Linked DNA regions of Alligator mississippiensis. The protein of the gene in region 1 interacts with the protein of each later gene in a pairwise test. Links are inferred from orthologs where the notes say so. Each region holds a gene or a part of one and is shown on either strand. Other genes may lie near its edges.

Region 1 (7,029 bases):
GGTGGAGAATTCTGATCTGAAAAGAGTTGTGAGGAGAAGACAAGGCAGCAGGAAGGGTCTGCTTTCCTAGGGAGTTCAGGCTACACCAGAACTACCTTAGTTCTGGTAAGTTGAAAGTGTTTTAACTGGTTACTCATAGCAAATGCTTTTCTTGGGTTTGTTCTTCCCCTGCTTTGGTGTCAGGAACCTGGGAGGTTGCAAAGTCAGAGGGCATCAGTCAATGTTCCTTCTGTGTCCCTTCCTGATTACTTAGAGATCCATAGCAGGGAATGACCCTTGCATTTCTGGCACTAGTGTGAGGATCCTTTCTCTGTCTCGCCAGCTGTGAAAGAACATCACAGCACATGCTGGGCCTGGGTCTCTTTTGCAATAGAGCCTCTGTCTAGAAATCAACTAGGGGCATTCAAGAGCTCGAGCTGAGAGCAGACTCCAACAGGATGCTGACTCCATGCAGGAGCGGGGATATTGCTACTTTACCTGAATCATTCTCTGAGCTGTGACTGGGACTGCAGGGCTGGGCTGGGCTGGGCTGGGCTTTAGAAAATAATCAGAGCTTGGCCTGCCTTACCCCAAACTCCCTAGGGTGACAGGAGGCCAGCCAGTGAACCCTCCCTGCAACTGTGGGAGCAGGGTAACGGGGAATTTTCATGGCTTCTGGGTGCACAATCTAAACTGGAGAGTAAGGAAGAACCTAGCCTCTTCCCAGAGCTGTGGTATGACAGGATATGGGTCTATGTCCAGTTGGCATAAGTCCTCCTCAGAGAGGTAGGGATAAGCACATTTAGAATATAGGGTTTGCTAGTGTGATCTGCCCCCATGGTAAAAGACAAACAGATTAAACAGATTAGCCACTATGTTGGAGGAAGGGAGTAAGCCCAAAGGGCAGAAAAGTGGAGTCCGATCTCATCTACCCTGTGTAAATTTGGAGTCTCCCAGTGAAATTAACAGAATTACTCCACACCTACACTAGACCAGTACCTCTACTAACTTCCATGAAGTGACCCTGAATCTATCGTAGCATCTAGAGCAGGGGTGGGCAAAATGTGACCTATGGGCCAGATGCAGCCCTCCAGGCCATTCTATCCAGCCCACGGGGCCCCTAAAAATTTAGAAAATTAATATTTATCTGCCCCTAGCTGCCTGTCATGTGGCTTGCCAAAACTCAGTAAGTGGCCTTCCACCCGAAATAATTGCCTGCCCCTGATTTAGAGCAACATGTTCACCACTGTTCTCCCTATGCAGGTGGGCAGGTTGTCTGCCTTTGGTGAGGTTTTTACATCCTCCTTTAGAACACCCAACATTGACCACACTTGTAGACTGGATGACTGCTCAGCTGAATTATTGATCTGTTCTGATGCAAGAGGAAAACTATTGTTCCTGATTGCCAATAGCACTATCAAGCCAGCAGGTGGTTAGGGGAAAATAAGTTTTCCAAGATCTGGAAGTACTGGGTCAGCCCAAGAGGAGAAGAGATGGTGACAGGAAAATCACTGCTTATTTCAGTGTCCCCTGCTTTGACCAGCTACCCTGTTAATGCTTCCTGGCAACTCTCACTCCCAGGAAATGGCTTGTCCTTAGAGTAAAAAAAAATCCAGTTCAGTTTGAGCCCGTCCTGGATATTTTTGATCTATTCATCTTGTATTTCAGTGCCAGCAGGAGCCATGCCCCCAAGGAGCTCTCTTTTCCTTGGTTAGGCCCACCCATTGCTCTGATTCTATTTTTTTCCATTGAAACCAGACAGTGAGCTGGTCAAGCTTTGCAGCTGATTGTGTGCAGGTTTTTAACTGCAATACCATGGTGACCACCAGCAACAAACGGGACTGGCTGCCAGCTGACTGGGCTTCTTGGCAGCTGTGGCAGCCACAGGATTTGTGAGGCTGGCCAGAGGACCCTGAATAAACTCCAACATATGGAGTGGCTGGAGCTGCTTGCACTCAGCCAGTGTCTTTATGGGACAAGTTCCATCTTGGGCTACCCCAGCCATTGCACAGCTGCTGCTGCTGCTCTGCAGATAATAGGCCCAGGGGGCTGGGGATGCTCCTCTCTGCAAGGGCAGAGGGGCTGAGAATCAGCAAACAGGAATTGGGTCAGAATGAAGCATCTAATGCTAATGTAGAGGATGAAGTCTGATGTCTGTAAGCTCTCTGGAGACCCTGTTGCTTTCCTCTCATCTATATGTTGTCATTGTGTGGGGAGATGGGTCCGTGAGGTGCTCTCTGCAGATGAAGGACACCCTGGAATGAGGAAGAGGAGGAGCATTATCCTCAGTGTCTCAGTCATCCCAAGCCAACTAGCCTTGAGCAGCTCAGAGAAGGCCAAGGACTGAGGCAAACCCCTTGACATTTTGGGGATCTCAAGATGCTGCCAGCTGCAAGGCCATTGTTTGAGTATGGCACTAGCACCAAGAGTCACCCCAATGAAGAGGTGGAGTCTGTCAGTGCATGAGTGTGTCAATGAGATACTTCCAGCCTTGGTGGGATGGTCCCTGTTCACCCCTCGGGGTGCTGATAGGCATTGCAGTGGACTGAGCCCAGCCTCTTACTGGTTGTTTTGGAGATTCATGGAGATAAGGAAGAGGAGTGAAGAGGAGCTAATCAGCCAAGCTCAACTGCCATTGGAAGAGGAGGAGGTAGCCTAACAACAGCCTTGTGAGCTCACCACCCATGGCGGTGAAGTCCCATGTCAGTTGGGGATCCACCCCCCAACTACTTTTCATTAGGGCTTCAGATTTTTTTTCCACTAGCCATGTTCCACACATCAAACAGATCCCTTCTCTGTGAGTGGGGTCTCTTGCAGGATTGCACAGTACAAAGCATCTCTTTGGGGGTTAAGGCAAGTGTCTCTGGTTCTTGCAATGCTGTGTTCCACAGGCCACATGCCTGAGGGGATCTTCCCCCTGTGCCCTGAGGGGAAGCTCCCACTGGCAACTGAGCTCTTCTAGGCTCTGATGTACCCCAGGTGGAAAGCCTTCCCCTTGTGATGACTCGTAGGTGAAGCAAAGCCCAGCTCCTCTTAATGAGCCAACCCACCCATAACACCCTGCTACTCCCTCCCTTGAGCCATGGACGGTGCCATTTCTACAAGTCTCTTAGCTATGTGCTTTGACCTGCTGATGGCAAGTGGCCTCTCTCAGCTCTACTTGATTTCACCTCCTTCATGGCATAAGCCTGGGCCACCATATGTCCTTTGTTGCCTGCTTCTGTCCACATTGGGTCTGGCCCCATTTCTTGGGAGACTGGTGCAAGCGTGGCTGTTGAATTCCCAGGCAGCTGCCTGGCTTGGAGCTGGGTATTAAAAGCCGTGGCTGGAGCCAGGCATCCTACCAGGAGTGTAGAGAGTAGCAGTTGCTGATGAGGCAGGGCTGGTAGGAAGCGAGGAAGGAGAAAAGATGCATTCCTGGTGCCACAGGCTGCGAGTGCGGTGTGGGGGGACTCACAAGGCACCAGCAGCAGCCCCTTTGCCTAGCTACAGGCTCTGCCCTGTGGGGCACCGCTGGTGGGAGTGAGCTCTGCAGATGGCTGCCTGCTCCTTGCTCCACAGGGAAGCCACTTCCTTCCACCCTGGTTGGACCCATCCGGGAAGGGGGAAGATGTCTGTGAAGAAGAAAGTGAGGCCTTATTCTTTGGGGTGAAAAACGAAAATGGCTCCAGCCCCATTCCTTGCCAGGCTGTGCTGTGGCAGGAAGAGGCTAATGCCATGGCACCAGTAGCGAGGGTTGTCCTCCCCCCTCAGCAAAGCCGGGTCTCACGGGCGGCTGCCAAGCCCCGAGGTGCCTTCCTCTCCTGCGGGGACACCCGTGCCAATGGGCCGCGGCAGCCTCTGGTCGCTGGAGCGGCACCCCCGGCTCTGCCCCGGGACGGGCAGCCCGGGCGTGGGAGCTCCCGGCTCCGGGCTGGCCCGACCCACGCGAGGCTCCAGCGCGGGCGGCAGAAGGGGGCGGGGAGGCGGGCGGGACGGCGGGGCGCCGCCGCCGAGGGGACGGGCGGGAGCGTGACGGGACTCGGAGGAGCCGCCCCAGGTGCCGGGACGGGGGCTCCTCGCGGGCCGCCGCGGCCTCGGCGACGCCCCTGCCCCGCAGCCCTGCCTGCCCTCGGGGCGGCTCCTAGGGCCGGGGGAGGCGGCCGCCCACTCCTGCTGCGGCCGGGCCAGCCCCCGCGGGCCGCCGGGGAGGGGAAAGTGAGGCGCGGAGCGAAGGAGCGGGGACCGGGCGGCCCTCGCAGCCCCGGCGCAGGACCGGCCCGGGTGCCCGGGGATGGCGCGGGCGGCGCGCGGGGGGCAGCAGGAGATGATCGAGCTGCAGGACCTGGCGCCGGCTCGCGGGGGGCGGCTGGAGCGGGCCAACGCGCTGCGCATCGCCCCGGGCCGGATGCCCGAGCTGCTCGGCCGCGTGCGGCACGCCCGGGCCGTCCCGGGCCAGGACCAGGGCCAGGGCCAGGGCCAGGGTCACGCCTTCCGGCCCCGCGCCCGCGGCCACCACGCCTGGTGCGACCTGTGCGGGGACTTCATCTGGGGCGTCCGCAGCAGGAGCCTGCAGTGCGGCCGTGAGTACCTTGCCGGGCCGGGCCGGGCCGGGGGCGCAGCTTCCTTCCCCCCAGAGCCGCGCAGCGACGCCCTGCGCTGTCCCCGTGGCCGGCACCTCCTGCAGGCAGCAGCTGGGCCCCGGGTGCCACTGCCGCGCGAGGGGTCAGGCGGCGGCGGCGGCACCACGCCAGGGACTGCCCGGCTGCACGGGTTGGTACCAGCGGGCTGGGGACTGGACACGCCTGAGCCTGTGGCCAGAGCAAGCCACAGCAGTTTCCCCCTTGCCCTCTGCCCTGCACCCGCCGGGCTTGCACACAAGTAGTGCCCCTCTCTGTTGGCGGCGCTTCAGGAGCACCCTGGCCTTGCACTTGCCGGCAGAGCAGTTTCAATTCAAATGTAAAAGGGCATCAAAGGAGTCTTGTTGATGGGCAGGGGAAGGGGACTGGGAAGGTCACTGAGGCCCTGTAGGGAGAAGCACCCCGTTTGCCCTTGTGCTTGACCATGCACCCATCCAGCAACGGGCCCCTTGGAAATGCCACGGAGAGAGTCCAGTGCTGCCTCCAGCTCACCATGCCCTGCCAGTGAGGCTGCCCTGAGACAAGCCCAGCACTCCGGCCGCACAGCTAGGTTTGGGCTCTGGCCCATGCAGGAGGCTCCAGGTCTCCGGTGTGAGCAGGTCCTGGTCATGCACTGTGTATATCTCCAGCATGACAGAAGTCTGTCCTCACAGGGTCACTGAGCACACTCTGCTCCGGACCCAAAAATGCAGCAGTGAGGCTGCTCCGAGTCAGCCCCACAGCTGCTTTCAAGTGTGCAGGAGATGGTGGGGCTGCAGGTGACTGTGGGGGATGCCCCAGGACAGCATCCTGGTGCAGTTCTGGGTGTGGAGCCTGCAGGAGAGAGCAGGTAGGGAGGGTGCTTGAGAAAGGCCTGACCAGGGCCTGCTGCTGGCTGGGGTCCCTGTGTCCCTGCCCCACAGCAGAGATGTAGCCAGTCAGATTTGGGATGTTGAGCCCTCTGAGTCCTGCCTTGGTGTCTTGTTGCTCTTCTGAGGGTTGTCTGAGAGGGAAATCTAAGGAGCTTCCTCAGTTAGGAATCAGCCCAGAGCCCCTGGGAATGGGAAGTCAGGAGACTTTGGGACACCGCCCAGCACAAACTAGCTTTGGGGGCTGATTGCATGAGTTAAGCCAGGGATTGTCAACCAGGGGTACGCATACCCTTGGGGATACTTGAGACAGCCCCAGGGAGTATGCATGGCGACACAGGGAAGTGGCATGTAGTGGCGGCACAGAGTGGTGAATGGTGGCAGCAGCCACCGTGTGTCACTTCCTCACCCCCCACTACCACCATTCACCATTCTGTGCCTTTGCCACACACTGCTTCCCTGCGCTGCTGGCTTTGTGTCAGGTTGGCTGTGCTGTCAGCATCCCACCCCCCTGCTCCCTGGCCAGCCATCAGCACAACCCCCTCACCGTCTGGAAGGGGGTATACTCCAGAAGGGGTACCCACTAGAAGGGGTACACTCCTTTAAAAAGGTTGCAACCCCCTGGGTTAAGCTGTTCCCTGGCACCAGGCAGAGCTGGATCCAGGGTGGGTGCAGTTGCATCTCCCCCCTCCTCTTCTTTTATTTCTGGTCCCTACACATTTTAAAACCAACTGCCTGGCAGAGGCAGCAAGATTTCTATTCAGGCTGGGGGGACAGAGTCAATTGACTTCATGTCTCATTATCATCTCCCTGATTCCTGCTAATCTGTCTCCACTCCACAAGTGTCAACAATCCTCTATCCTTTTTAAAGGTCTTGATGTTCTGCTAGTCAAACTATTCTTTCTTCTGTAATGCTGCTGTCTGTTAGTTATTTCTGGTAATCTCTTCTGTTTCACAACCCTGTAGACTTTTTAGCTCTAGCTAAAAAGCCTTAGCTCAGGTATGGTAATATTAATTTAGGTGGAGACATGATTGACTGTGAAGTATTGGGGCACTATCCAGATGCCCAAGGTGGCTAGATTTCATTTTATGAATCTGAATGAGATATACATGTAACTAGAATGACTACAGGACTAATGTCACAATATAAATTTCATAGACATTAGGGCTGGAAGGGACCTTGAAGATCATCAAGTCCAGCCCCCTGCCCTAGGGGCAGGAAGTCAGCTAGGGTCAAAGGACCGCAGCAAGATAAGCATCCAAGTGTTTCTTGAATGAGTCAAGAGTAGGTGCCTGCACCACATCTGGAAGGAGTCTATTCCAGGTCTTGGGGGCTCGGATAGTAAAGAATGTTTTTCTTATGTCCAGCCTAAAATGGTCTTGCAGGAGTTTATAACCGTTGGTCCTTGTTTTCCCATGGGGCGCTCTGGTAAACAGCCATTCTCCCAGGTCCTGATGAACACCCCTTGTGTGGCAGTCACCAGGTCCCCCTGAGCCTGCGCTTTTCCAGACTATCTTTTGACTATTTTTGCCTGGTTTGTTGTCTGTGTGTTCTTAATTTTGTATATAATCTAGCAAACTAT
Region 2 (7,470 bases), on another chromosome or scaffold:
CCCACTTCAGTGCAACATAGCCTGCAGGCCCATGGGTGTGTACCACTATAGTTCCCCAAACACCTAAATGTTTGCTGCTGCAAAACCCAGAACTGTCTCTGTCTTGACAGTGATGGACAAGCTAGGTTCCTAAGCTCTTTAGAGATCTACAAACTAAACATTCTTCTATGCCCCCTATTGGGTCTGAAGTGAAAAGCATTGTCAGCAAACACCTACTGGATTGGATCCCACACAAACAAGGGAAGAGAAAGAGGTGCTGGTGGTGATTTCATTTTATCCAATATATCCATGACTACAGTCTTCACCCAGAGTATGGGGGGGGGGGAAGGAAGGAAAAAAAAAAAAAAAAAAAAACAACAAACACACTCTCCTGCTCGAAGGGATTTGAACCTCATCTCTCAACTCCCATGCTTCAGCTAAAAGGCTATAGGTGAAGCATGTTCTCCTTCCTGTTGAAGGAATTGAACTTGCCATAAGGTAACTTAAATTATCATTGTGCTGCAACATCAAGAAAGCAAAACTCTCTCACCTAGTGATTAGGCCACTTGCCCGCATGGGCAAAGGGAACATATGGGTTCAATAAATACAGCAATATATCCATGGGGATTCTCACACTTAAAAACCTATCCTGGCTTTAGGTGTCCATGCCAGTCTTTTCTCCAAGAAGACAGCCAGAAGAAGAGTCATACCATTTTCATACTAGCTCAGATACTCATCCTGGACAAGGGAATCCTGGGTTTTATCTGTGCCAGTGTCAACCCATTCTTTCATCAGCATTCCCTATAAATTATTTTAAACCAGCACACTAAGCAGAGCTACCTGTGAATCACATTATTGAGTGCCTAAATATTTCCATGCAGTGTATACAGAAACTAATGCATGACTATAGCTGTTATTGTACTAGGTAGAACCCAAAAACAAGGCACGCTAAGCTCCAGGTGAGCCCTTACACCAAAACTGTAGGAGGCGATCAGCTTGGGGTGTTTATCATTTGGCATCCAGCTTGAGACAGCTAACGTTTAATTCAGAGATACTGTCCATCCTGCAACTCTCACTGGAATGACCCAGCTCTGGTCGGAGGTAGGCACGTGAGCCAGCACTAGGACCCACTGCCACTTTTCTCCTTGGTAGCTTTCTTGTGGCCACCACTTTCTCTCCATGGTGGCATGATGAGAGCAATCACTGCCAAAGCCCCCCACCACAGAACACCACCAATGCCCCACATCCTTAGGCCAGGTCCAACCATAAATTTAAGCCAGGACTCAGCAGCCATCACCACTTCCAAGGAGAAAGTGGGGGGAGGCAAGGCCAGTATTACCAACTCAAAATTTGATTGAGAGCCTCATGACATGAAGCCTGGCCCACAAACAGTTTTTGTACTTCTATAGCTATTTTTATAGAAAATTAAGAGTCAGTTATAGAACTGCTCTACCCCAATATAGCTTATTCCCTCTTCCGAAACAGCAATATGTTATGCAGATGATATAAGCGTGTTTATAGCTATATCTGTATCAAGGCAGGATTGTGCCACTTTACACCAATACAGCCAAAGCAATACTACTACGCGTTTAGAGAAGACCTTGGCATTATATTTACACCAGCCACTCTTGAATTCATATTATTACATGAAGATTCATTACAAAGTTTCTTGTGTTCATAGTTAGAGACATGCTTGAAGACACAAACTGTAAAGGCTCAAAATGACACAGGCAAAGAAAAAAAAATTAAACAAAAAGGTGAAGTGTGCTTATTGAAAGCCATTCTTGATTTTACCTCCCTGACTCACATAGGGCTGGAAGGGACCTCCAGAGGCTGTCTAGGCCTGTGCTTGTCAACCTTTCCTGTACCAGGACCCACTTGTAAACATGGATAGCCAGTCCCAACACAGTGCCCCCTGCCCACCAGTGTGTGGGGCAGGGGGTGGGTGTATGGGGCAGGGAGTGGATGTGGGGCATGGAAGGCCTCAAGCAGCCCTTTGCAGGCTCTGACAGCCTGCAAGGGAAAAGCCATGTTTTTCCCACATTTTTCTCCTTTAAAAAGGAGAATCCATGTTTTAAGTGTGTTGATTCATCTTTAAAAGTTTGTTCCAACCTTTTTGTATTTTCTTGCGAGCCACTTTTGGGTCACAACCCACCAGTTGCTGATCTAGTCCAACCCCCTGCCCGAGGTAGGATCATCTGTATCCAAACCTTCTCACACAACCATAATCTACAGTCACAAGACTACCCTCAACCCTGACAACACAGACCTAACACCCCAACCTGCCACAGGTGAAGCAGGGCAGCCAGGGGCCTGCTTCCCTAAAATATTGACAACGAACACCAAGAGGGCACGCCACAGCCCCCACTACAGGGGCCCTCGCTCTCACCAGCCTGACCCTGGGTGAAACTGACCCCACGTCTGGCGATGCGTCTGCCCCGGAGCAGAGGGGCAAGCCCCCGCAGCCAGGAGCCGCAGGTCCCAGCAGGAGCGCTGGCACAGCCCAGAGTCCCCGGCCTGGGGAAAGCTTAACGCCCCTCTCAGCAGAGGGAAGCGGGGAGCAACCCGCCGAGCCCGGCACTCCCTTAGCGGGACACGGGCCCGCCCGGGCGCCGCTGCAGGGCTGCCCGGCTTGGCCTTGCCCGGCCAACAGGAGGCTTTGCAGGAGTTTAAAACCCCTCAGCCTCAAGGCCGGGCCGGGCCGGCCCGGCCCAGGGGAGCTGCTGCCGCCGCACCCGCCGCCGGCTCAGCTCTGGCTGGGCTGCCCCCGGCCCGGCCCGGCCCGCGGCCTAGCCCCAACCGCCGCCGCCGCCGCCCCGTCCCCTCCCCTCGGGGCCCCGACCAGGCCCTCACCTCTTGGGCGCTGCCGGCTCCATGGTGCAAGCGGCCTGGGGTGTAGCCACACCCGCCCCGCCAACTCCGCACAACTTCGCGGCGGCGCTGGCCCTTTAAGTGGGACTCGCGCCTCCCCCGCGGGCGCCGCTCTCAGACAAACGCGGCTGGCGCCAGCCCGACTGCTGGTCGCTGAAAGCCCGCCCCACCCGCTCCCTCCTCTCATTGGCCCCGAGGGGACAGGGCGGAAGAAGTGGATTGGGTCCCACCGGCGTCAATTGTTTGACTTTAAGGACCCAGGAGGCGGAAGCGAGAACAAACGCCTTCCCCCAGGAGCAGGCGAATGCGGGGCTCGGGGCGCAGCCAACGCGTTCCCAGCGTGCCCCGCTCCGCCTGGGCCGCCGCGGGGCACGCTGGGACATGGAGTCCCCACAGGAAGTCGCTTCCTGCATGGGTTCTCGCCTCTGGCCCGGCTCGCGTCGCCTGCACGTGACGGGCACGACCTCGCCATCCCCGAGCTCGGGCGGGGCGGCTCCAGCGTGCATTGCCTGGGCGCAGCCGTTCAGCACCGAGGCAAAGGGCTCCTGGCGCGGCCCTGTCTGCCGAGGGGGCTTCCAGGCCCGGCTCCCGCTGCCCCGGCCAGTCACCGCTGCTGCATGCGGGCAGGAAGCACAGGTGTGTGGCTTGCGTGTCAGGACACCTGCACGTCTGGTGGTCTGGGCCCTTTCTCCACCACCGCTTTGTGCCGTTTCCAGGTTCCCGGAGGAGCCGTAGGTAGGGGTGCACCCATGGAGATTTTTTGGGTGCCATATCGACCCACGTCAGTCTGATTCGAACGTGCAGGCCGGCAGCTTGGAGAGCGCCGGCTGCCTGGTACGGCTGTTGGGGGGCGGGGGCAGGTCAAGGCCCCTGCGGTGCGGGGGGAGTGGGGCAGGGTAGGCACTGCACAGCCGGCGTGGTGCGGGGCACAGGATGGAGCCACGAGCAGCTTATCCAGGGTAGAGAAGGGTGGCTCCCGGTGCTGTGCGCACCCCAGGATGGCATGGTGGGGTGCCCCCAGATCTGCACAGGGGAGGGCGGGCTGTAGCCAGGGCAGTGCCAGGCTCTTCCTGGCAGGGGCTGGGCCGGGCTGCGCTTGGGGCGGGCAGCAGTGGCGCTAAGGGGAGCTACAGGGAGACCTGCAGCCACCCCAGAATTCGCCATAGCCCCTGCTCCTAGCGCAGCCTGGCCCCTTACTGGGAAGAGCCCAGTACTGCCCCAGCCTGCAGCATCAACCCACCCCTTGCCCCACATGCAGATCCAGGGGCACACAGATGGTGTGTGCCTCCTGGGGTGCATGCAGGGGCAGGAGCATCCTCCCCAGGCCAGCTGCTCAGGGCTTCATCCCGCACCCTGCCCCAACTGGGCAGTGTCTGTTCCTGCCCCAGCTCCACTCCCTCACTGGGGGACCTCAATGTGCCCTTCCCCCACAACAAGCTTACCAACCAATGCTGCTTTCCAAGCTGCCGGGCTGTGCTCCTGCTCATGTGCATGCTGCAACTGTGCATATGCACGTGGCATTTAAAATCTGCCACATCAGGCAAAAAAGGCCAATTCCCATTACTTGCAATTTTCCCTATCTCAGTGCCAATCTGACCTGGGACTGATGTATCGGTGCACCTCTAGCCTTAGGTGCTCTATACTCTGTCTTGAGACAGATTGGCCCGCTAGAGCAATCCAAAAAATTAAAGCAAGCACAGGTGTCCACTTCACCTTCCACATACCTTCCCCAAGGGAAGGTTGAATTAGGAAAAAAGTATGCATGGGAATCGGTGCCGCATTCAGGCGAATCTGCACTCGGCTTGTTACAGTGTTTGAACCTGATTGGAAACTTTCAGGGTAAATGATATTGTTGGATTCAGAACCTGGACTAGATTAAACCTTGCTGGCACTAATAATGAAATCTCACAACACCCCTAGGATGCAAGTAAATGGTATTTTTTCCATTAAACTAAATAAGACTAACAAAAGATAAGTGGAAGAGATAACAAAAGCTCTAAGGTCTCATGAGTCACTGGCAAAATCAGAAGTCGGCAGGAGATGATTCACATTCCTGTAAGACACATTCCCTTTCTAAATTATGCAATATAAAAATAGACCAGTTGGACTGGAGCTTTCACTGCACAAAGGGGCTTCACACTGAAGTTTGAAATAATGATTAGTGTAAAACACCTTGGTGTATCACAAACAAAGTTTCCCTCTACATCCCACCCTTACTGACCTTCACTTATTTCATTACAACTCCTAATCATTGGGTGGTCCTGAGCAAACTGTTAAACAAGTTTCTGCAGAAGTCCAGTCAAGTCAGATATCTTTACCATTTCAAAGCTGTAGCTTATGTTGTTGCTGCCTTGCTTCTAATATAGGCTATTTCAAGAAAAAAAATTATACACACGCACCCCCATATAGTAAACAAAACAGTGCCAGCCAATTTAGATAGAAATGCAATTTTCCCAGTATTTGGAGTATATTAGTGTGGCTCAGTTCATATTGGAAAATGCTGACTTGTGCAAAGTGGGCTCTTGAAGGATGCTATGAAAGCCTAATCATATTCTGTTGTACCATCGTAGTATTTAATATAAAAGCCTTTGTCTGTCTGCCCATAATGCTTTATTCGCACTGATTGGCTGACTGAAACAACCAATAAGAGTGCAAATACAGCATTGGGACAGGAGGTGATGACACAGCAGAGCACTGCCCTAATGGCAGGGACACAGGGGATGGAGTGGGGGCGAGGCCAGCACAACCAGTCTTGCCCCTCCTGCCCTGCTGCCTGCAAGCAGCAGCAGCAATGGAGTGGACAGAATGGGGGGGGGTGAGGCCAGAAGCACTGGCCTTGCCCCCCCTGCCCTGCTCCCTGCAGGCAGTGACTATGGAGTGTAGAGGGGGCAAGGCCACCAAAGCTGGCCTTGCCTCCCCCCCTTTCTCCTTGGAAGTGGCAATGGGGTGGGGGGGAGCAGGGTCAGGAGGCTGCAGGGGGGCAGGGGTGAGGCCACCAGCGCTGGCCTCAGCCCACACCTCCCCACTTTCATTGTCACCGCCTGCAGGACCAATGTATCAGCAGTGTGGGGAGGGAAGGAGCGGGCCCAGGCCTGACACAGGAGGGTCTACCATGGCGGGTTGAGAAAGGGGAAGTGGGCCCAGGGGTAGGCACATATGGGGCTCCGTTCCTGCCCACTTCCCTCCCCCCCATCCCTCATCATTCTTGACGGGCAGTTGGCTAGTTAAATATATTTATCCCACCATATGCAGAGCAGGGTATGTTTACTTCTTTCCCCACATGCCTACAAAATGGCAAACCTGTCACACCCATTGCTACATCAATATACTGTACCAGCAACAGGCTTTAAACAGGGACACAGCTACACTGACAGCTAGAATTTTTTTACTTGTATAGCAAAACCACCCCTTAGAGAAAAAAAAGTGATATACATGGTAGCAGTCTTGCCAGTATAATTAACTGTGTGTACATGAAAAGGTTCTGCCAGCAGAGTAATGCTGGTCAGGGGCCACACTGCAGACTGACATAGCTGTGCTGACAGAAGCCTGTACTGCAGACCTGGCCTGGGTCCTAGACACCAACCGTTCAAACTGCCTAGTGCTCTCACATCACATAATTGACAAAAGAATTGCTGCTTCTATTAGAAGTCCCACAGCTGCTAAATCAAGATCACTATGGTGTATATTTCTCTCCTTATATTAACATAAGATTGGGGGTGTCCTTATATTCCACTCAAAGTTGTGATGGCAGTTTGTACAGATGTACTCAAACTAGTTCACATGGGTGGTGACAACTGGGAAGCCAAAGAACAAACTGCCTGAGTATCTCCTTATAGCTTGTGTTGCATTCTGGAGCTGCCAGTTCTGTCATCATTAGTAAAGTTTAAACCTAGCTCAGGCACATCTACACAAACTACCACTAAGCTTTTTGAGTGTGGAAGAAACAGCTTTATAGCTCTTACTGCTTTCTATGACCTGGGACAGGAAAACATATATCTCTCCTACCTCAAGATAGCTCTTGGCTACTAATAAGCCCCTGCCTCAAACTACATTTCCTGCCCCTGGCCAAACAGAATTTTCAAAACCACATGGTTTTGAATTTAGGTGCCCAACTTACTTTGAAAGTTAGCCCAAACAGCATTATCTCTTACATCCTGTAAATCACATGCTTGACTACAGCACTTCATTTGCAAGCACGTACAAGTGCCAAATGGTAACCTGGGAAGCAAACATGAACTGCAAGGCACAGTTCCTTGTAACAGTAACTACGCAGAATTAAACACACTAAATAAGTTTGTGTACATTTGATGGTCTCATACCATTAATGAATAAATTACCTTTGTTCTGCCTTAGTCATGTCATTTACCAGATTGCAGCTAATACTAGAACAGACAGTTGTCTAAAAGAAAAGTGGAAAAAACTATATTAAAGCCACACTAAAATATGCACGTTTAAAACCACAAGAGGAAGAAATGCAAAAATAATTGTCATACAAACTTTCAGTACTGCTGCACATCATTTTTTTTAATAGTTATATAAATCTAAACCAATATCTTTCTTAAATAGAATATATAATTAGAATTCTGTATACGTTTAGAGTTTAAAACATTATTTTGTCCA

The links. The genes of interacting proteins can lie anywhere in the genome.
Region 2: the proteins of RASSF1 (region 1) and STK3 interact in binary tests that used the Homo sapiens proteins (3 or more experiments, as listed by UniProt). The link is inferred for Alligator mississippiensis from reciprocal best matches to the Homo sapiens genes RASSF1 and STK3.

The regions. Positions count from the first base shown.
Region 1 is NC_081835.1:43,829,923-43,836,951, reverse strand, and holds the start of RASSF1 (ras association domain-containing protein 1), read left to right. Parts: upstream 1-4,021; 5' UTR 4,022-4,252; coding exon 4,253-4,541; intron 4,542-7,029. UniProt on the Homo sapiens protein: Potential tumor suppressor. Required for death receptor-dependent apoptosis. Mediates activation of STK3/MST2 and STK4/MST1 during Fas-induced apoptosis by preventing their dephosphorylation.
Region 2 is NC_081826.1:40,043,845-40,051,314, reverse strand, and holds the start of STK3 (serine/threonine-protein kinase 3), read right to left. Parts: upstream 3,002-7,470; 5' UTR 2,856-3,001; coding exon 2,833-2,855; intron 1-2,832. UniProt on the Homo sapiens protein: Stress-activated, pro-apoptotic kinase which, following caspase-cleavage, enters the nucleus and induces chromatin condensation followed by internucleosomal DNA fragmentation.